2 linked regions of the Diceros bicornis minor genome follow. The protein of the gene in region 2 interacts with the protein of the main gene of each other region in a biochemical or structural test. Links are inferred from orthologs where the notes say so. Each region holds a gene or a part of one and is shown on either strand. Other genes may lie near its edges.

Evidence for each region.
Region 1: of the proteins of PSRC1 (region 2) and ASB7, one has a biochemical effect on the other in vitro, tested with the Homo sapiens proteins (2 studies listed by BioGRID, with this or other methods). The link is inferred for Diceros bicornis minor from reciprocal best matches to the Homo sapiens genes PSRC1 and ASB7.

Annotation. Positions count from the first base shown.
Region 1 is NC_080744.1:80,992,696-81,003,084, forward strand, and holds the start of ASB7 (ankyrin repeat and SOCS box protein 7), read right to left. Parts: upstream 5,269-10,389; 5' UTR 4,865-5,268; exon of another isoform or gene 4,812-4,864; intron 4,798-4,811; exon of another isoform or gene 4,738-4,797; intron 4,644-4,737; 5' UTR 4,549-4,643; intron 1-4,548. UniProt on the Homo sapiens protein: Probable substrate-recognition component of a SCF-like ECS (Elongin-Cullin-SOCS-box protein) E3 ubiquitin-protein ligase complex which mediates the ubiquitination and subsequent proteasomal degradation of target proteins.
Region 2 is NC_080743.1:42,380,988-42,392,146, reverse strand, and holds the start of PSRC1 (proline/serine-rich coiled-coil protein 1), read left to right. Parts: upstream 1-6,272; 5' UTR 6,273-6,333; intron 6,334-6,705; 5' UTR 6,706-6,744; coding exon 6,745-6,763; intron 6,764-6,854; coding exon 6,855-6,912; intron 6,913-7,355; coding exon 7,356-7,797; intron 7,798-8,142; coding exon 8,143-8,257; intron 8,258-8,347; coding exon 8,348-8,596; intron 8,597-8,915; coding exon 8,916-9,009; coding exon of another isoform or gene 9,010-9,013; intron 9,014-9,223; coding exon of another isoform or gene 9,224-9,259; exon of another isoform or gene 9,260-9,839; intron 9,840-11,159. UniProt on the Homo sapiens protein: Required for normal progression through mitosis. Required for normal congress of chromosomes at the metaphase plate, and for normal rate of chromosomal segregation during anaphase. Plays a role in the regulation of mitotic spindle dynamics.

The sequences.
Region 1 (10,389 bases), on a different chromosome or scaffold from region 2:
GCCAAGAGACGTGGAGATGTCTCCCCCATGGTTTTAAGCTTTAAGAATCCTTGTTCTTATTGTTGTTGCCTTCCACCTACCCATCACCACTTCCATGGAGGTACCAGGGAGGAGGACATGCAAGGTGAGAGGCAAGGAGAATATGAAATGGTATTAATTTGTTAACAATATCAAGAAAAGGCTTCGTCTTAAAAGATGAAGTGACTAAACTACTTCTCTCAACAAGAAAGATGCATAAACAATAGTAACTTGTGATAATCCCATACCGGCTACTTCAGTCAGATGAATGAAAATCTACTGAGTGCCTGACGTGTGCATGAAACACTGCTAGGCCCTGACGACTGGGATTACCTCTGGGCAGAACTTTAATAGACAGTTCTGCATACTTAAAATAAACTGAATAATCCTAGAAATGTTAAGATCCGTTTTCTCTTTTCTGACAATACTAAGCGCTATAAATAATAACCATAGGTTTAAACCAAAAAAGCACTCTTGGCATGTATCCACCTTTACAAGAAAAAACACAGACACACATACACCACGCACACATGATCCCTGTCAGCTGTATCCCTTAAATTATGAAGGACAATAACTTATTACCAAAATACCCTAATAGTCCAAAGCATCAGACAAGTAACTAATTTTATCTCGGTGTTATTTTATGAGAGTTTGTACTTAATAGAGTATAGCTATCTACATATGTATAAATAAAGAAAAAAAAAAAACTATTGAACTTAAAAAGTAAATACAATATCCAGTGGTAAAGGTGCCTACTTAAAATCATGGAGAAAGTCCAGAGGTGAGAATGGAAAAAAGTCTATTTCCTCTGAAGGAGGGCAAGTTTGAAATCTGATAGCTCATGGAAGTCACTTATAAAATAAAAGAATATGGTTAAAGAGGCAATTTTCTAAATAAATATATGTACAAACTAAGTTGTTTAAAATTAATAATGACTCAGAACTACTAAAACTCTGAGGGTGCAATCTTTAGAAATTCCATTCTGGGTTTCCCAGTCAGAAAAAAGAAAACATACAAACAAGGAAGACTTCAGAATTATGTATCAAAAAGAGCCACTTCCCCAATGTATATCATTTTTATATGAGATTTTATCGCCCAATGTTAATAGTGTGTTTAAATTTTACAAATTCATCTTTTCTACTCTACATGGGGTGAAAAGAAAATAATGTAGGCCTCCAAGCTTTAATCCTGTTAATTGTAGTAGAAACTGTAAATTTAGGAATTAAAATGTTAGCATTTAATTTCCATATAGAGGCCAAGTGAATTTCATTTAGTTAAAACCAAAACTTCTTGATTCACATAATTAAAAGAAGTCTATATTCATAGAATAGAGTGAAGAATAACTATAAAAAAATATATATTTAAGACCTGTCTAAAATTATATAACTTTCACCAAATTTGTCCACATGTCCCCAATTTCCTTTGGCATAAATGATTAGTCATTAACAGTTTTTGCATATTATTTTCACTAAAAGACCACACATTTTTTGATTACGTGATACAAATTAGAACTGTGCTTTCAGATTTCACACAAACTAGAAACAAGGTAACAGCTTGCTACTCAAAAAAAAGAAATAAGCATTTCTTTGCAGAATAAACAGAGATACAGGCTGGTAAGGAAATAAAATCAGCAACTCCAAGGATATTGGCTCTGAGAAAAAAAAAACAAACCACCAATGGCTCACAAGTCCTAAGAGGGAAGATGGATGCAGAAACACTACAAGGCCCAGAGTGTGCAACATGGATGAGCTGTACATTGATGAGCTCTACTTGTATAATCAAGAGCCTGGAACCCAAAATAAAGTAGAAGTGTTATTTTAGTATCACTCAACATAGTTAGCATAGTGTTTATGTTCCAAAACAAGTGAGGGTATTCATATTTCCTCCAAATTACTGGGCCTCATATAACAAAGATTTATTATCATGCACAACTTGTCTATAACTCTCATGAGTTCCAACAGAAAAACCAACAATTTTCATGAAATGTGGATGATGCAATAGAGGAAATTTTGTAATTCACTTATGTGACCCAACTCAAAGCTTAAATCACAAGTACTATAAATGATGAGGTCTTGTCAATACTATCTTATTAACCCACGTCTGGCAGTATTATCTTAGCAGCCTCATGTCAGTGCCTAGCAAGTCTGCAAGAAAGGAGACAATCATTCTACTTAGGGAGTGCCTTCAGTTGAGAAGGAAATGAAAGGCTGAAAGTCAGGTACTAGATATGCTCTTCTAACTTTATCTGACTTTAGACTTTTCAGGGATAGTATGTACTTCTGTGTTACCAAAGTTAAATGTGAACAAAATAAAGAGATACTGTACATGTCATAATAGTAACTAATTGTGAATGGCATCACTTTAGGTATAAAGAAAATAAGTATTGGCCATAACATACTCAAGACACATCACTGAATATCTTCAATTAAAATCAGTTATTCTCCCTATGTGATTATAAATATATATTTGGTTATCGAAAAAATTATGTGTTTTTTGATTTTTTTCTTTCAAAACCATGTGACTGGCAATAGAATTAACAGAAAGTTAACTACCAGGTTGAAAAATATAAACTACCTAACTGGCCATGCTGGTAAATAAGTACCCAAATTAAATATTTTAAATGTTTGCCATAACCTAGACCAAATGCTCTCGATCATGCTAATATCAGGAACAGATGCTGACAATTTATATATATTCCCTAATCTTAGAAAAACCAGTAAAAGCTGAGAGGATCAATGAAATATTATTTAAGCAATGAGAAGGAGCTGGCTGGAAACCAGGGGAAAGCAGTGTCCTCTCTTTACCTTATATGCTTGACTCACCACAGACCCACTCCCTTACCTTCTTAGTGCTAATACCCCTTGGAAATGAAAACATGCTAGAGTTAAATCTAAAGCAGAAAAAATATTTAATTGAGAAGGCCCGAATAGAAAATATGTAATTCATTTTTACCTTAAAAACATACTTCAAATACTTTAGCATTTTTCAAAAAGTCCTAAGAAATCATTAGGCATCTCTCTGGTGACCCACATACTTAAATAATGAAAATTGCCTTTAACTTTATAGACTTCTAGGCAGAAGTCTTACTGAAATGAAGTGCACCCTATAAACACATACAAAGGCTACCCAAAATGTTCACCATGGAATAGTCATTGGTGGATACTGATTCTAAATCCCACTCAGCAGCATACATTCTCCCTTTGGTGTCCAGTTCCAGGTCTCAAGAATATGCAAAACCTCAGAGCCTCTTAAAGCATCTTTAACAGTATCTTGATAATTAGAAGAATCAGGAAAGACATTAATTTCTTTTTGTGGAAGGCAGAAAGTCCACTGGAACAGAGTAAATCAAAGATTTCCTAACAACTTCTGCTATTTTAAGTACCTCTTTGTACCTAAAATTCCCTAAACAATCTGAGACATTAAAATAACTGAGATTAGCAAGTCACTTTATACTCCTGTTATTGGATATTAGAAAAGTCATTCACTTGGCTAATTTCTGAATTAACTCTTATATAACTTCCCAGATCATATCCCCTCTTTAGGAATTACAAGAATGTCCTGAACTTACCTTTAGTGCATCTTTAGAGGCAGCAACAAAATACAGCAGCAGAAATGTGGTCACATGAATTACATGCCTAAATTTCAATCTAACAAATTCTCTGTAAGCGTTTTGAAATGAAAAATATTATTTATGAAGAGTGCAAAAAGAAAGCCCTAGATTCTAAACACACCATAATACGCCTTTGTTTTTAAATTCTTGAGTGTCAAATGATTAACAAGATATTATGCAAAGTTTTAAGTTCTCCTAGAAAATATCAGGTATAACAAGTATTGTTTATCTTTTTAGAACAGTTTCAGGGCCCTTCCACATCTGTCACACAGAAACACACAAAAGCCCAAAGAGTTAATTATACATAAGCGCTTCAGGGGCGAGTATTGCTTTCATATCTCTCCTATTATTAAAGTATACAGATTCACTTTTTACTCAGAAAAAAAGTCACACTGTTTTCCGAAACTCATAAATTTCAAGCCATTACTGTACCTTCCTCTACCAAACCCTTGAGTTAGGTAACGCAAAAGCTTTTCTGATGGAGGTAGAGAAAAGGTGATAGGAAGGAATAAGAAGAAAAGAGAAAACTGTGGTTTAATTAAAAAGCAGAGTCATTCAGAATTAACAAGCAATTAACAAGGAATTGAGGAATTCCTATGAGAGTAAAGCGGGGGGGGGGGGGGGGGGGGGAGCTACTAAAAGGTCTCAAAGTCTCAGAGCAGGGTAAATGGTACAGTGTACCAAAAGATAACGCAAAACACGGAAACACTGTACAGAGAGAAGGGGGAAAACAGCTTCTGGGGTAGAGAAGTTACTAAAATGTTAAGTATTACAGCACGGGCAGTGTTTTTGTTTACACTGGCAAACTGGGGGCCAAGAAAAGGTTGCATTCCCAGGTAATCACCCTGAAAATAAAGCACTGCTTAATAAGGTAAGGGCCAGGAATAAACAAAGGGGGGAGGGGAGGACTGGCTTATTACCTTTATAGAGGATGCTGGTCAGAGGCTCTCTGCTGCTTCTCCGGTGGGTGGGCAAATCCCTTCCTGCTCTCTCGTCTCCTCTAGCCAGCTCAAACCTGGAAATCAGCAACTAGTGAGTGGTGTAGTGCCCTGGGGCCAAGGAGGAGGGGGCTCCGAGGAACGGGGAGCATAGGAAGAGAGTAGTAAGGGCAGGCAGGAAGAAGCAGTGATTCTCCTCCCTCCCGGCCAGCCCCCTTCCTCTCAGGGGAGGTAAGTGACTTTACCTGTCTCCTCAGCTGCTGCTTCTCTTCCTCCTTTCAGCCTCCTCCACACTCACCAACTTCTCCATTGAAGAAACACCCCAGACAGGGCCGGACACGGGTGTTCCTGATCCTCCTCGGTGCCTCACGGCCCCAGCCCGGCGAGCATCCAGACAGCCGAGCAGACGGGGGGCGGCGGTCCTGGCCGCGGGGCAGCCTCGGGGCAGGGGTGCAGGGAGGAAGTCCCGACTCGGGTGGGGGGGGGCAGTCCCGGTCTGAGGACTCGGAGCAGGGGGCTGCCGCGCTCCGGGCCAGACTCCCAGCTACGGGCGGACACGGGAGGTCTGGGGACAGCGAGGTCCCGGGTCACACAGGGTTCGAAGTGCCAGCCGCAGGGGCTCCAGGCAGGGGGCTTTTGGGATGCACTTTGCACTGGGCCACCCCCGCCCCCTCCCTCCAGCACTTTGGGGTCACTGGGATGGGACCAAGCCTTCAGCAGCCAATCAGCGGCCGCACTGGAGCCTGAGCCCGGAGCCGTAAACCAGGTCCGGAGTGGGTGGGGGTGGGGGGCGGGGGCGACTTGGTTGGTTGGTTGCTTCCTTCTCTCCTCCTTACCCCAGGCAGCCCCCACCCCTTGGCTGCCGTAAAGCCGCCTGCGCATTCGCGACAGTTAGAGGAGGCGTGCCGATCGAGGCTGGGAGTCGCCTCCAATTGGCCCTACTTACTTTCCCCTCGGCTTCCCCCCTGTGGCTTCCGATGCTCCGCCCCTGGCGGAGGGACTCGAAGCGGTTGCTAAGAGACAGTGAACGCTAAGGGGGCTTCTGCGCATGCGGGGGGAGGGACTAGCGTGTACTCTCCGTGAACTACGGTGGCCGGGCAGGGGCCGGTGGTCGCTGGAATGGCGGTGGGAAGGCTGAGTGTCTAGAGCCAGATCCCTGGCAGGAGCCAGATCCCTGGCAGGTAACTGGGAGCGGCCGCTGAGTTCGGCGACTGGGGAGGCGTGTGTCTGGCCGACTGAGAGGCTGGTCCAAGGGGTTAAGGTTGGAGAGGCGGCAGTCCTCAGGAAGCGAGGAGAGGGGCGCCTTGTGTCGCCGCCCCTCCTCAGCGATTTTCTGACTCGAGTGCCAGGTCCATGGCTCATCTCTCCGTCCCGGAGGCCCGTTAGCTACCAGGCTAGGTATGCCTCGCCTAGCGCGGAAGAGAGGACTCTCTTTGGGATGGCGGTGACATTTCAAGGGCTTTCCTGCAAGGATATCGACCCTCACGGATTTCTGTGAATGGAGGGGAAAAGAGAGTGGAAAATATGCCAGATGGACCTGTTCATTAAGTGCATTTATTCATTTAGCAAGTGTTTACTGGCCGGGCACTGTTCTAGCTGTTAGGGAGACAACAGTGGACAAGATAGATGCAATCACTTGCCCTCGTGGAGCTTTCATAAAATTATCAGATAGGGATAGGTTATATAAAGAAAATAAAGAAATAATAGAATCGAGTTCGACTAGGACGTGGTGGATATTATAGATAGTCAGGAAAGGTCTCTGAGGAAATGACATTTGAGCAAACGATCTGAATGAAGAGGAGCCATACCAAGAGCTGGGGGGTAGAATTTTGTAGACAGAGAGAAAAGTGCAAACCCTATGATGCTGGAATAACGTTTGCCGTTTACAAGAACTGCAAGAAAGAAGGCGAGCGAGTCTAATAGAGTAAGAGGAAGAGTGATTGGTAATGAGGTTGGGGTGTGGGACAGGCTGGACCTTGTAGGCCATGCTTGGGAAGTTATAGTATCTTATTTGTGTTTTGAAAAGATCACTGGCTGCTCAGTGGAGAAGACTGTAGCTGGGAGTGGGGTTTGCTGCAAATGTGGAAGGCTATTGTTGTCTAGGCAGGAGTTGATATTATTTTAAACTAAGTCATATTTGACTACCACCGATGTCTTCGAAGAAAGGCCTACCTGTTTATGTAAAGGAAGTATTTCAATATATCAACTGCTTTTATGTAGCAAAATATATTAAGAAGTTTTGTGGCAGATGGATTCACTGCAGATGCTTTCAATTTGCCCCCTGATATTTTCTTTTACACCATCATTCATTTGTTCAAGAATACTCATTTTGGTGCCTTCCACATGAGCTACCTGTTGGCTTATGTAGGCAAACGGGACTCCGGCCTGACCAAGGGAGCTCCTAGTCAAGTGTGGGGGAACCAAATTAGAAAATAGTTATAGACGATGCAGTGAGATAAATACTGTGGTATAGGCTGAGGGAGCACTTGGCAGGGCCCTCTATTCCTGACTTGGATATGTGGAAGGTTCCCCCCAGACTGGAGGTTTCCATGTTGAAGGTTGAGAGTTGGGGAGAGAAGGCTGAATGTGATTTAGTCAGAAAGAATGGACTAAGCGAAGCTTGGGAATCCTTAAAGGGCACAGAGTTTCTGAGGACCTCAGAGAAGGCTTGGAGCTTAGTTTGTAGGTCACAGAGGTGAGAAGAGTCACATCTTGAAGGGCCTGCTAAGCCATGTTCAGGGGTTTGGGCTTTATCCTAAGGAAAAGTGGAGAGATTTTTCAGTTATTGTTCTTGTTTTCTTCAGATATATACCCAGAAGTGGGATTACTGGATCATATGGTAGTTCTATTTGTAGTTTTGGGGGGAACCTCCATACTGTTTTCCATAGTGGCTGCACCAATTTACATTCCCACCAACAGTGCACAAAGGTTCGCTTTTCTCCATATCCTTGCCAGCACTTGTCGTTGCTTATATTTTTGATAATAGCCATTCTAACAGGTCTGAGGTGATATCTCATTGTGGTTTTGATTTGCATTTCCCTGGTGATTAGTGATGTTGAGCACTTTTTCATGTGCCTGTTGCCCATCTGTATATCTTATTTAGAAAATGTCTATTCAGATTCTCTGCCCGTTTTTTAATCAGAATGTTTGTTTTTTTGCTATTAAGTTGTATTTTTTAATGTTTTTTGGATATTAACTGCTTCTCAAATATATGATTTGCAAATATTTTCTCCCATTCAGTAGGTTACCTTTTCATTTTGTTGATGGTTTCCTTTGCTGTGCAGAAGCTTTTTAGTTTGATGTGGTCCCACTTGTTTTTTTTGCTTTTGTTGCCTTTGCTTTTGGTGTCAAATCCAAAAAATCATCATCAAGATGATGTCAAGGAACTTTCCACTTATGTTTTCTTCTAGGAGTTTTATAGTTCAAGTCTTTAATCCATTTTGAGTGAATTTTTGTGTATGGTGTAAAATAGTGGTCCAGTTTCATTCTTTTACGTGTGGCTATCCAGTTTTCCCTGCACCATTTATTAAAGAGACTGTCCTTTCCCCATTGTATATTCTTGGCTCCTTTGTTGCAAATTAATTGACCATATATGCATGGATTTATTTCTGGGTTCTCTATTCTGGTTCTATTGATCCATGTGCCTGTGTTTATGCTAATACCATACTGTTCTGATTACTATAGCTTTGTAATATAGTTTGAAATCAGGAAGCCTGATTCCTCTAGCTTTGTTCTTCTGTTTTCAAGATTGCTTTGGCTATTTGGAGTCTTTTATGGTTCCATACAAATTTTAGGGTTGTTTGTTCTATGTCTATGAAAAATGCCATTGGAATTTTGATAGGGATTGCGTTGAATTCGTAGATTGCTTTGGGTAATATGCACATTTTAACAATATTAGTTCTTCCAATCTATGAGCACAGAATATCCTTCCATTTACATGTGTTGTCTTCAGTGTCTTTCATCAGTGTCTTATAGTTTTCAGTGTACAGGTCTTTCACCTCCTTGGTTAAATTTTTTCCTAGGTATTTTATTCTTTTTGATGCAGTTTTAAATGGGATTTTTTTTTTTAATTTTTCTTTTTGATAGTTCATTATTAGTGGATAGAAATGCAACAGATTTTTGTATATTGAATTTGTTTCCTGTAACTTTACTGAATTCATTTATTGGTTCTAATAATTTTGTGGTGGAATCTTTAGGGTTTTCTATATATGATGTCATGTCATCTGCAAATAGTGACGGTTTTACTTCTTCCTTTCCAATATGGAAGCCTTTTGTTTATTTTCCTTGACTAATTGCTCTGGCTAGGACTTCCAACACTATAATGAATAAAAGTGGCAAGAGTGGGCATTCTTGTCTTGTTCCTGATCTTAGAGGAAAAGCTTTCAGCCTTTTACCATTCACAGTTGATGTTAGCTGTGTGCTTGTTGTATATGGCCTTTATTATGTTAAGACACGTTCCCTCTATACCCTCTTTGTTAAGAGTGTTTTATCCTAGATGGATGTTGAATTTTTTCAGATGCTTTTTCTGCATCTATTGAGATGATCATATGATTTTTATCATTTATTTTGTTAATGTATTGTATGACATTGATTGGTTTGCAGGTGTTGAACCATCCTTGCAACCATGGAATAAATCCCACTTGATTGGTATATGATTCTTTTAATGTATTATTGAACTCAGTTTGCTAATATTTTGTTGAGGATTTTTATATCTATGTTCATCAGTGATATTGGCCTGTAAGTATCTTTTCTTGTGATGTCCTTGTCTGGTTTTGGTATCAGGGTAATGCTGGCCTTATAAAATGAGTTTGGAAATGTTCCCTCCTTTTCTGTTTTTTGGAAGAGTTTGAGAAGGCGTGTTAATTCTTCTTTAAATGTTTGGTTGAATTCACCAGTGAAGCCATCTGATCTTGGACCTTTGTTCATTGCGAGGTTTTTAATTACTGAATAGTCTCCTTACTACTAATCAGTCTGTTCAGATTTTCTATTTCTTCCTGATTTAGTCTTGGTAGCTTGTATGTTTCTAGGAATTTATCCATTTCTTCTAATGTTGTGCAGTTTGTTGTCTCAGAAAGTCATATTTAAGCTGAAAACAAAAGCTTTCTAAGTGGAGGGAACAGCATTGTATCAAGGTCCAGAGTCAAGAAGGAACCTTTGAGGTGACTAAATAAAGGAGTATTGGCATCCTCCTGCTTGAATTGTAGAAAAGTCTTCATCATATAAACTCTGTACTTTTTGCAAATCTTTGAGTGTGTGCTACTTTGCTGAGGTAGGTTAGGTAACCTTACTTTATCAACCGAAAATCAAGTTTGTCTCTTTGGTACAGTATTCTGAATTCAGGAGTTCAGTAAAATAGGTGGTGCTGTTGTCATATCTATAGACATTCCCCAAACTCTACCCTGCCACTGGTGGAAGGTTTTTTTGGTGGGGGGCAGGAGGAGGAGGGAAAGGGGCATAGATTGGTAAAAGAGACTGAGTAAAGAAACATTTCATTCTGAAGCACCGCTTAAAATGTAGAACCATATTTTAGCAACTAAGGGTAGAGAAGTTTTGTTTTTTATATTGCTACCCTGGAGATTTTCCATTAAAAAAAAATGCTTAGCATTAGCACAATATAATGTAAACCTAATGAGCTTATATTCCTTATCAGGAAAATCGAGTAGATTGGTCAGTGGTCATTAAAGAATAGTCCCCAGTCCAATTCTTGGGCCCTGCCCAGATCCACTGAATCAAAATCTCTGGAGGTGGACCCCGCCATCATATTCTGTCAAGCTGTCTTGGAGATTCTGAAGCTAGACTGCAAACCAGTGGTCTAGATCATCT
Region 2 (11,159 bases):
CAAAGCCCCAGTAGATAGCTGTATGTCATAGTTGCACATTCTTCTAGTTGCTGTATGTGGGACGCGGCCTTAGCGTGGCCGGAGAAGCAGTGCGTCAGTGCGCGCCCGGGATCGGAACCCGGGCCGCCAGCGTCAGAGCGCATGCACTTAACCGCCAAGCCACGGGGCCGGCCCAAGCAATTGGTTCTTACCACCCCTTGTTGCTCCCTCGTCTTTATCTTCCAGCCAAAGATCATCTGGCTAAAGAACAAGATTGATATCCAAGACAACCCCAAGTACGGAGCCCTCACTCACCTGGGAATCTGCTCCCTAGAAATCCGCAAGCCTGGTCCCTTTGACGGGGGTATCTACACCTGCAAGGCCGTTAACCCCCTGGGGGAGGCATCCGTGGACTGTCGGGTGGATGTGAAAGGTAAGGGCAGAACTTACGCCTTAGGGTGCAATCATGTCTCTCCATAGCTGGAAAAGTTGGGGCAGAGACACAGCCTAGATGGAGAAGGGCTTGGTTTGCTTCCCCTTCAGGCCCTCTCATTGCTGTCATCATTGCGATGTGTTTGGGGAGCCGTTTTGTTATCCACCATCTCATGTCTCTCCATCATAATTCTGTAATATAGGACGAATTGCTATTTCCATTTTGCAAAGGGGAAACCTGAGGCACAGGGAGGTGATTGGTTTACCCAAGATTTCCAGTGTTGGTTAACTGAGGAGTTGGCACTATGGCAGAGAGAGCTCATGTCTCCTGGGCCTCACCCAGATCATTTTTCTATAAAATATACAGTCTTCTGATTCAGTCTCCTCTGGGAGACTTTCCCCTCTGGTTTGTTAAAAGGGAATATTGTACATCCTTTCTACCTCTTATAAAGTATTCATTCATTTATCCATTCCTTTCACCTTGTTCATAGCTCCATATTGCATTTAGCATATTGTTTTATAATTATTTATTTACTGATCTGTTTCCCCATTAAACTATGAGCACCTTGAGGGCAGGGACAGTCTTATTCGCCTTTGTTCCCCAAGGGTTGAGCGCAGTTTCTGACACACGGTGAACACTCTCTAAGTGTGTGTAGCATGAATCAGGAATGAATGGGCCATTATATGTCCTATTCTTCCCTGTGCGTAGATTCCTAATTAGCACCATGGACCCTCAAAAAACCTAAGAAGTATATCCCTTCCTAACGCTCCAGAAGGTTCCCCAGAGATTTCTGAGACATTAACATTGAGAAATGTCTGAATTCTTGCAGCTCCTCACTGAGGCTCCTGAAGAGGACACGGCAACTCTGAGGAAGATAAGGAAAGAGGGACAGGGGTCTGAATAAATTATTTCATGTTTATGGCTAATGTTGTTGAGCCTGGGACAGATACGCAGTCCTGAGCCTTTCAACCATGCACTCGCTGGTGATCACTTTTCTTTTAACCACTTTTTTTGGTAAGCTAATACGATCATCCACATGGAAGGAATTTACCACAGATAAAGTCTACTTTTGTCACATCTTCTATCTGTCTGTACTCCTCAAGTTGATGATAGGAATTAAACCTAACAGTCCTCTGAAAAAGAGTGACAGCATCTACCTAATTGTAAGAGGGTGCTGTGGGAGGGAGGTGGGCAGGTGCTGTAAGAAAAGGTGTCAGGGGAACAATCAGGAGTGGAAGATGGATGAGGTCGCCTCTACCTCATGGCAGCAGCATGGAAAAGGAGAGAGGAAGCTGCTCCTGTCAATTAAGTGTTTCTACCGCAGTATCATAAGCATGGTGAGAAACAGATTAGTTTGCTTGTTTTTTACTTTGAAGTTTATGGATTCTTTCCCCTCCAAGAGAATAAAACCACCATTCTCATTACATGTCAATAATAATTGAACATGTGGGTATGTGGTCCCAAGCAGCACATTATTGGCAAAGGCAACTCAGATCATCATTTAGAATTTGATAACTTCTTCAGATTCTAAATCATTCACAGTAGAAATGTTGTGTACAAACTGATGAGGTGCAAAAGAAGCTCGTGAGAGAATTAAAGAGAACTGGCTCCCAATGTCTCCTCTGACCTGCAGCTCCTGGCTGATGAAAACTGAAAATGAATTCCATCCCAGAAGCCATTTATTTAAGCCTATCATTGATATATAGCAAATGAAAACTGTAAGGGATGCATTAGAAGTACAGACTTAGGAGAGCTCTCTCTGCCAGTTGGCTTGCAAAGCCAGCTCTCTCGCCATCCCTCCATTCCCTCCATGTTAACGTTAATGTTGTGTTGTGTTGGTGTTAGCCTTGTTAGTGTTAGTTGCCCTTTGACCTCTCTCCCAGCCAGTGCCCAGCAAGGAAGCAGGGTAAGTAGAGAATTCAGAGGACAGGACCCAGGGACCGTGAAGAGGGATTGCCCCAGCATCCCGGGTGTGCTCTGGCTGTGTGCTGTAATGGCCACCACATATCCTCTCTTTTCTGTGCCTTCAGGAAGCCTGACTGTGGCGAGACTGTATTCTTAAGGAGCTCCAGCACAGTGTCTGGTTTGGATGAATCTAAATAAATATGTGAATCCTCAGTGCCTAAGTGTCCATCTGTCTGAGCCTTTCTATATGGGAAAACCATTTAGAAAGTTAGAATCCTTTAGCCAGACTGTATGGGATCTGCAGACCCTCAGACTCCTCTTTCTCTTCCCATATCCACACTCTCTTCCACAAAGGTTTCTAACACTGTCCTTTTCTCTAAACAGTCTATGACAGAGCTGAGTTCAACTCTGTACAGTACCAGGCACTGAAAGAGATGCTGAAGATCACTTGCTCTCTTTCTTTGTGCTCTTTCCAGAATAAGTTGGAAAACAGGGTGCACATCCATCACAGAGATGTAGACAGCAGGACACATAAATACGTACATAGCTAATTAAAGACAGAGCACTAAGACTTGAGGGCTAGGAGATACTGAAGAAATTGGAGCAGAGTCTCATTAAGCCCTGGGGAAAGAATAAAGACGAGGGGCCCTTGCTTATATGTTTTCATTCTTAGAGCAAATAAGATATGGAAGGTATTCTGTGATAGAACCTGCAAAAGATAGCAATAATTCTTCCCATCCTAGTATGGGCATGGTATTCTTCCCGTCAAGATTTGGAGTCTATTTCTCCTACCCTCTAATCTGGGCTGCCCACGTGACCTGCCTTGACCAAAAGAATGTAGTGGAGGTGATGCTTTGCCAGTTCTGGGCCTAGACCTTAAGAGGTCTAGTAGTTTCTGCTTTTGCTTTTGGAAGTCAGCTCCCATGTAAAGAATCTCAGGATAGATTACTGAATTACGAGAGGCCACATGGAGGACAACCAAGCATCCCAGCTGACAGCCAGCACCACAGCCCTAGACATGTGTGGCCGCCTTGGACCCTTCAGCCCCAGTCAAGCCCAATCTACTCCTTGTGGAGTAGAGACAGGTTGTCCTTGCATAGCCCTGCCCAAACTGTAAAACCATGAGCACATGAATGGCTACTGTTGTTTCAAGTCACTAAATATTGGTATGGTCTGTTACACAGTAATATGTAACTGAAACAGCCTTCTATGCATCAGGCATTGACCATTAGGCTTTATCTCTTTTAATCTTCATTTTACAAATGAGGATGCTGAAGCTTATAAATTGCTCCAAGTCATGCAGCTGGGAAGTAGCAGAGCTAGAATTTGAACTAGGTCTATGTGACTTCGAGCCTTCCCTATTTCCTCTCATCTCTTTCACCCAGTGACCCCCACTGTAGCGGGTCTGGGTTGGAACCATGGGTTTAAGAAAGAAAAGATTTCTAAGAGGCAGTAAATATTAGGCAAGTTTTGGAGGAGGAAGGGGATGTGTTTTGGCTAAGAAGAGTGTAAAAGGCTTTTCTGTTCAGACCAAAGGTCTATTTTCAGTTGAGGCAAAGCATCTATTCTAGCCTTTCTCAACTGGAGTTCTATGAGAATTAAGCCCCAATGCCCCAATGCATCCACTGTATGTCAAATTCACTTCTTCCTCTGCATCTAGAATGTTACTAGTTATGTGCCATCCTTGGGAAAATTGAGAAAACAGTCACACAAATCTTTTGTAGGCTCTAATGCACTTGTGGAACCCCTGCTGAGAATGTTGGCGAGGCAGAGTCCAGAGTGAGCCAGTCATGTACATAACGGCCAGAAGGCCTCCTTCCAGCTGAAGCAGGGCCCAGGTCAGGAAGGAGTGAAATACTCCCAGCTTTGATGCCCTAAGGATCAGTTAGACCTTGGGCCTCAGCCCACAGCCTCTGCTGTTTGTTGAAGTACTCAAGGGCCATGCCTTAAAGTTCATATATTCTCAACCTTCATGGTGAAGGAATAAAATTTTCTTCACACTGACCAAGACCTCCAGTCACAGCTAATCTTTCTGCATTCAAGGAGAACTACACTAGAATCCTTAATTTTTTCATTTATGCACTCAACACTACGGAGTACCTTCTGAACTAAGGCCTACCATGTGCCTAAGGGGGTGTCATTTCTTCATTATTTATCCAAAATCTTAAAACACCTATTCACATGTACCATTTGAGGTTGAGCTGAGGAGGAGAAATATTTCCCAGATTAGTGGCTTTATACAGAGTGGAGAATTCTTGCTCCTGAAATCTACATTTTCTGGCTTTGTTGTCATTCTCATAGAGGAGAAAGTAGTTTCACTGCTTTTTTTCTGCTACCGCAACAGCTTTCAAAATCATAATTTGGTGACAGAAAATTGGAGATGAGTTTCCCTAGGAGAAACTAACTTTCAATTAGCTAAAACTGCCTCCCCTACTCATCTGAAGGTGGGTGAAGACATAAATGCAGACTTTCCCTACTCAGGCTGCTCCTGGGGGAAGAAGGAATGCAGTTAATTAACAGCGTCTCTCCTCTGATCTCACTTTGCCTGCTACCTGTGTGGAGAGAGGGAAGCTACTGGCTCTGGTTTTCTTACCTCCATGGAACCTGAATCCTACAAGCAACTAAAATTCCACCTTCACCAGCAAGCCTAGGGAAAAAGAGGAAACCTTCTTCTCTCAGCTCTTCCTCACATAAGCTTACAAGTTCCGGGTCTCCCCATCCTTTCCCTTATCATCCCACTAAATTCCAAGGATCCTGTGCTTCCTGTGGCATTACAATAACATCTCACTCCTGCAAACCTCACCACCTCCACTTTACCGCTAAAAGCTAGGAAGTAAATGAAAAAGCCTTTAAGTGGCCAAAATAATGGTCATAAACTCTGGAGACTAAAGCTCAGGTTCTTTGTTTACAAGAAAGCTCTTCAGCCATTCTTTTCCGGCCTTTTAAAATTTTTAGAACATCTCTGTTAACTGGTGGCCCAGCCTATTCACAGGCAACACTTGGAAACAACAGAGAGAAAAATCCCTAATGATTGTAGCCTTAAGCATTTTACAAACATAGCTTTTGGTCTAGAGGTAGCAAGTTACAAACACCCCCTCAAAAGCCGCTAAGGCACACGGTAGAAAACTTAATGTTCATACTTATCCTCCTAACCACGTAACTGTCAAGGTCAAGATGCTCACTTCATAGATGAGCGAGGGGTCAAATACAGGTGCAGAGAGGTCAAGTATCCTGAAACTCTCCTAGCTTGCAAACAGAGGAGTCACGGTTAGAATTGAACCCAAATCTGTCTGTCTGAAAATTCCGTTGTTTTCTTTACACCTTGGCTGCCTCACGTTCCGAATGTTCTTGCTTAAAAAGCCAACAGAAGATATACTTCTTAGAGAATCTCAATATACTTAAAACATAAATGTTTAGGTGCTTCCGTAACTTGGAAAAACCACAACTGAGCAAATTTGGCAAACGCGGCGCTTGCAGGCGGAACAATCTTCCTCAGGCACAGCGTTAGGATTGGCGCCGACGGCCAGGAGGGGCGTCAGGCAACCACGCCGGTCCCCAGGACCGCGCAGGTCCGGCAAAACCCGGCTCGACCAAGCAGGAGACGGAGAGGGGGAGGAGACGGGCGGGTGGGGGGCAGGGCGCGAAACCCAAGCTCATTGGCCCGTTCCCTCGCGCACCGCCTCGAGGCCCCGCCCCTCCCAGGCCCGACTCCGCTCGGCTCCCCTCTTGGGAGCCAAAGGAAGGTCTCCCGGGCACGCGCGCGCTCGCGGCCCCGGGGTTTCAGCCCTCTGCATTGAGTCTCTCTTGGAACCGCTCTCCACACGGCCCCCACCTGCAGACTTCCGGCCAGCTGCCCGCCGCCGCCCCGCCCCCCAAGGGCGGGGGATGCTGGGATCCGCCAATCACTGAGCGCGTGTGATGGGAGTGGGTGGGGCCTGAGAGATTCGAAAGGAGCCCCGCCCCTCGGAGCTGATTCCCTGGACTAGGTTGTGGGAGGAAAGCAGCTTCCGCGCAAGGTGTGGCGGCGCGAAAAGTCAGAACTGAGGGTGGGTTGAAGGTGTGGTCCGTGGGTGTGGTGCCGTGGGGAGTGGCGAGGTGGATGGGGGGAGGCAGAACCCGGAGATTGGTGGCGGGAAGAAGGTGGGGCGCGCCTCCAGTGAGGAGAGGCCGGGTCGCTGAGGGGCGCAGTCTGCGGAGGGCGATGGGGGTGGAGGAGGAGCTCTCCGCACCCTCCCCGGAGGTAACAGGGGTAGTTACAGGGGCAGGTGCCACTCCTGGGACGCTTGCTTTACCTCCAGCATGACCTCCAACCCCTGGTTTGCACCCTGAGTCTAGCTGGGAGCCTTGGGCAGGATGGAGACCAGAGGAATGGTGTGTTTTCTCTCCAGCTCAGGTCTAAGCTGACTCTTGCTTCTGCTGGCAGGAACATGGGAGATTTGGAGGAAGGTAAGGAAACCCTGGAGGGCAGAATGAGACCCTGCGATTGAGAGCCGTGTTAGGGCCCCGAGTCTGGCAGTCATTCTTTCCTCCCCTACAGATGTAAAGTTTATAGTGGATGAGACCTTGGACTTTGGAGGGCTGTCACCATCTGACAGGTACTAGCCTCTTTATCCTACTTACTCTCCTCCAACAAGGCCTCTCTGACCCCTTACTGCTGAATTACTGGCCTCTGGAGCCTGGGTTGGTAATTTAGCAAGGTTGGGTGCACTGGGGCTGCTGGGTTTGACTGGGGTTGACTTGGGTTTCTATGACACTAATGGGGGAACGAGAAGGGATAAGCTGGAGGGAGACTACAGGGTGTTAGGGAGAAGGGTAAGTGGATTTGCTGTGTCTTCATCCTTGCGTAATTTCCAATGTCACTAAATGCTGAAGGCTTATTAGGCCTCATAGAACCAGGTGTCTCATCACCTAGAAGCCGGATCTCACACCCAGCATGGGGATCAGGGTTTAGGGGTGTGTCCCTGGCTCTGTTGTGCGGGTTTTGCCCAGTCTCCTGCTCTCTAACGCGTGGGCATGGTGCCTGGTTTTTCTGTCTCAGTCGTGAAGAGGAAGACATAGCAGTGTCGGTGACTCCGGAGAAACCCTTCCGACGAGGCCTCTCCCACCGAAGTGACCCAAATGCAGTGGGCCCTGCCTCCCAGGGTCTGAGGTTCAGCTTAGGCCCCCTCAGCCCAGAGAAGCTGGAGGAGATCCTTGATGAAGCCAACCGGCTGGCAGCTCAGCTGGAGCAGTGTGCCTTGCAGGAGCGGGAGATCACAGGCCAGGGCCTGGGGCCTCGCAGGATGAAGCCCAGCCCTCGGCGGGAGACCTTTGTGCTGAAGGACAGTCCTGTCCGGGACCTGCTGCCCACTGTGAGCTCTTTGGCTCGGAGCACCCCCTCCCCAAGCAGCCTGCCACCTCGACTCCGGAGCAGTGATAGGAAGGGGTCAGTCAGGGCTCTTCGAGCAACATCTGGAAAGAGGCCCTCCAGCGTGAAGAAGGTGAATTTAGAGGGTCTGTGTGTCCCCAGACACACTGCGTGACTCGGTACAGGCATAGAGTGGTTTCCTCGTTGGTAAAATGGGAATAGTAAATTCTCCCTTATAGAATTGTTGGAATTAAATGAGATACCACAAGCAAAGCACTTACTGTAGTGTCCGTGCATAGCTCCAGAATGCCTAAAATAAGCTCTCAATAAATGGTATTGGTGATGATGATGGTGTTAGCAGCTAACTTCTGCTCTTCCTTACTGGGATCTAGGCCACTCTCCACCTCTATCCCTTAGTCACCCAGCAGAACAGATTCTTTTTCCATTCTAGTCCTTTTTTTCTCTCTTTGTGTTTCAGGAGTCGCCCACGTGCAATCTGTTCCCCGCAGCCAAAAGCCCGGCATCTTCTCCTCTTGCCCGATCAACTCCTCCAGGCCGGGGAAAAGCTGGGCCCAGTGGGAGAGCAATAGCAAGTGAGAAGACCTGGGCAGCAAGGCTATGGGTGAACGGGAGTAGGGAGGATGTGGAGCTTACCCTAAAATTCCTCTGCTCCTCTCCACCAGGCCCGCCTACCCCTGTCAGACCAGTCTTGGCCCCACAGCCTTCTACCAGCAACTCTCAGCGCCTGTCTCGGCCACAGGGAGCAGCTGCTAAACCTTCCAGTCGGCTGCCTGTTCCCTCTGCCATCCCCAGGCCTGCCAGCCGAATGCCACTCACCAGCCGGAGTGTACCACCCAGCAAAGGTGCCCTACCTCCAGATTCTCAGTCAACTCGGAAAGGACTTCCAAGACCCAGTGCTGCAGGGCACAGAGGTGAGGAAGAATGGACATCAGGGTAAGAAGTCAGGAGGAAGAAGACCTACTGTTGCCCAGCTTGACTGCACCCTCCCAGAGCTGGTCACAGTGACCACCTCCATCTCCATTATAACTCTGTAGAAGATGGGGAGACTGAGTTTAGGAGAGGATGTGGGCCTGGGCAAAGAGTTTGAGCCTTGCATTTCAAATACCTTCTGTTTTTTACCTTGGGTGAGAGGAAAGGCACTAATCCCAAACTCACTGTGCCTTCTGTTTCTTTTTGAGAAGGTCACTTGAACTTTCTGCTAACGCATTTCTTTTGTTAACCCCCATCAAGTTCCTGTTTCCCAGCGACCAAATCTTCCCCTCACTGGTGCCACTCACAGCAATCTGCAGCCCCCCAAGAAAGTTGCAGACCCAGGACCTACCAGGTAAGACTGGTTGAGATGCTTTCTCTCTCTCCTCTGCCATCTGGGCTTCTGAGCTGTTATGCACATCAGCCCTGAATCCTGTGTGGCAAGATAAGGGTGAGGAGGGGAGCCTGTAGGGGTGGGGAAGCCCATTTCTTCCTACCCTGAGGATCTCGAACTCAGCTGGGTGAGGAAGAAGGGCAATTTAAGGCAGTTCCTCCTTCTGTCTCTTTAGGTAGAGAGATCAGGACAGCAAGCAAGAATTCAGTAGCAAACCACTACAGTCACTGCCTGGACTCACCTCTCCTGGGCCTCCCCAGTCCTCCCGTTGGAGGCAGGCCCTGACTTCAGCAGATTCTGGCCCAGGGGCAGGAGGAAGAGATGCCACCAGGGCTAGTGCCCAGGAGTAGAGACCGTGGGAGATGGGATAGATCAGGAGTGAGCTGGGGGAAAATCAAACTCTCTGGATTGAAAGAAGATTAGGGAAAAAAGAGGTCGCCTCCCAGTAGTGAAATTAACAAACAAAAAATGAGAAATGCAGGAGAGTGGATTGTCCTCATCCACCCCCACTCTTGTGTTCAGCTGCAGAGAGTTTGATCTTCTTCCCAGGCATTGGTTCACTGGACGTTTACATGTGAATGGTCTCTGTGGCTAACCTCCCTGCTCTCTGAGGAGGGGTCCTCCTGAGTCACATCCTCTACTGGACTCGGGCCTGTTTGGAGAAGCAGAGGCAGGCATCTGGTTTCCAGAACTTGTTTCCTGTAAATTCTGTGACTCCTAACAGGCCAGTTTATGATAAGCTTACTCCATCAGTCTGCATTTTTCTAAAATAAAATGAATGTATTTTTATATTCTCTGTACTTGTGAAAGTAGATCCTGCTCCAATTTCTAACAAATTTGGAGTAAACTCCTGTGTAATTCCAATGAGGTAACCAGGCTGTGTTGTGTAGGCAGGGGCCTGAATAGGCGCTGGGGCCTTGAGATTCCAGCTTGTCAGGTTGTGATTACCCCCCTTGTCAGCATTAGATGGGAACAGGCTGCCCTTTCCCAGGATTCCTGTTATTAGAAGGTCCAGATCAAGTTAAGGTATACCTTAACCCCCTCCTACACCCACCTTATACTTAATGAATGAAATTCTCAGCCACATACAAGTCACAACACTAGGCACTGCAGAGGTTTATAAACCCTGGTGCCAGCTCTCAAATCTAGTGAGGGAGATAAGAGGAGAACACTGATGTGTTCTAATGCTGTAAGGCAGAATGCGATGAGGCGTTCTGGCATCTTCTGCCTAAGGCAATCAGAAAAGCTGAGTACCAGGATACCCACCAAAGGGCCCCCTGATCCCAAAGTACAGCAGATAAGAAGCTGAGGAGTTCCCAGGAGGCTCCATTCTCTTGCCAGGAAAGGACACCCAAGTTTAGGATATGAATAGTAATTTATAATAATAATAATGATAATGATAATAATCCTGGCTTGACACCTCACATGTATGTGGCTGAGAATTTCATTCATTTATTGAAAAAAATATTTGAGTGCAAGATGGTGGGTACTGAATGAATGACAAAGACTCATTTAACAGATTTAACTATGAGTCCCTTTTCTCACAGCCTTTGATTCTTGCAACCAAAACCAACTCAATTCCTTATGAGTTTTGAGAGAACTTTCCTCCTTGAAAGCCAGGCCATGACTTAAGGAAGCCAGTAGGCAGCTAGGCAAAGGGAGTGGAGTGCCAGCTGGTGTCCCTGCCGCCACACCTCTATGGCCATAAGAACCCTACTTAGGCACTGAAATGCCCTTCCCCAGTACCTGGGGCCAGAGGCCCTCCACTGCTTTCTTTTCCTTTTTATGGCTGATGTTAAGGTTCACTTAACACATTCATCTCTATCACAGTGACATTCACCTTTCCCTGAGCCTCTTACAGAAACTCCTGCAGCCTCTGGGATTCCAAGAATTGAGCTGGGGAGGGGGTGTGGAGACAAACACTGAGTATTTGGCCCTGGAGACATTTGGCAGAGGCAAGAAAACCTCAGGTGTGTTTCCCAGCTGCATCCTGCACGTATGTCTAGTGAGCAGAGCCTGCTGGTGACCACCACTCTGACAGAAGCATTGGAAGGTCTGCAAGCCTAGGAACACACTTCGGTGTGGCCTGGGTGGGTCCTTAGAGGCAAAAC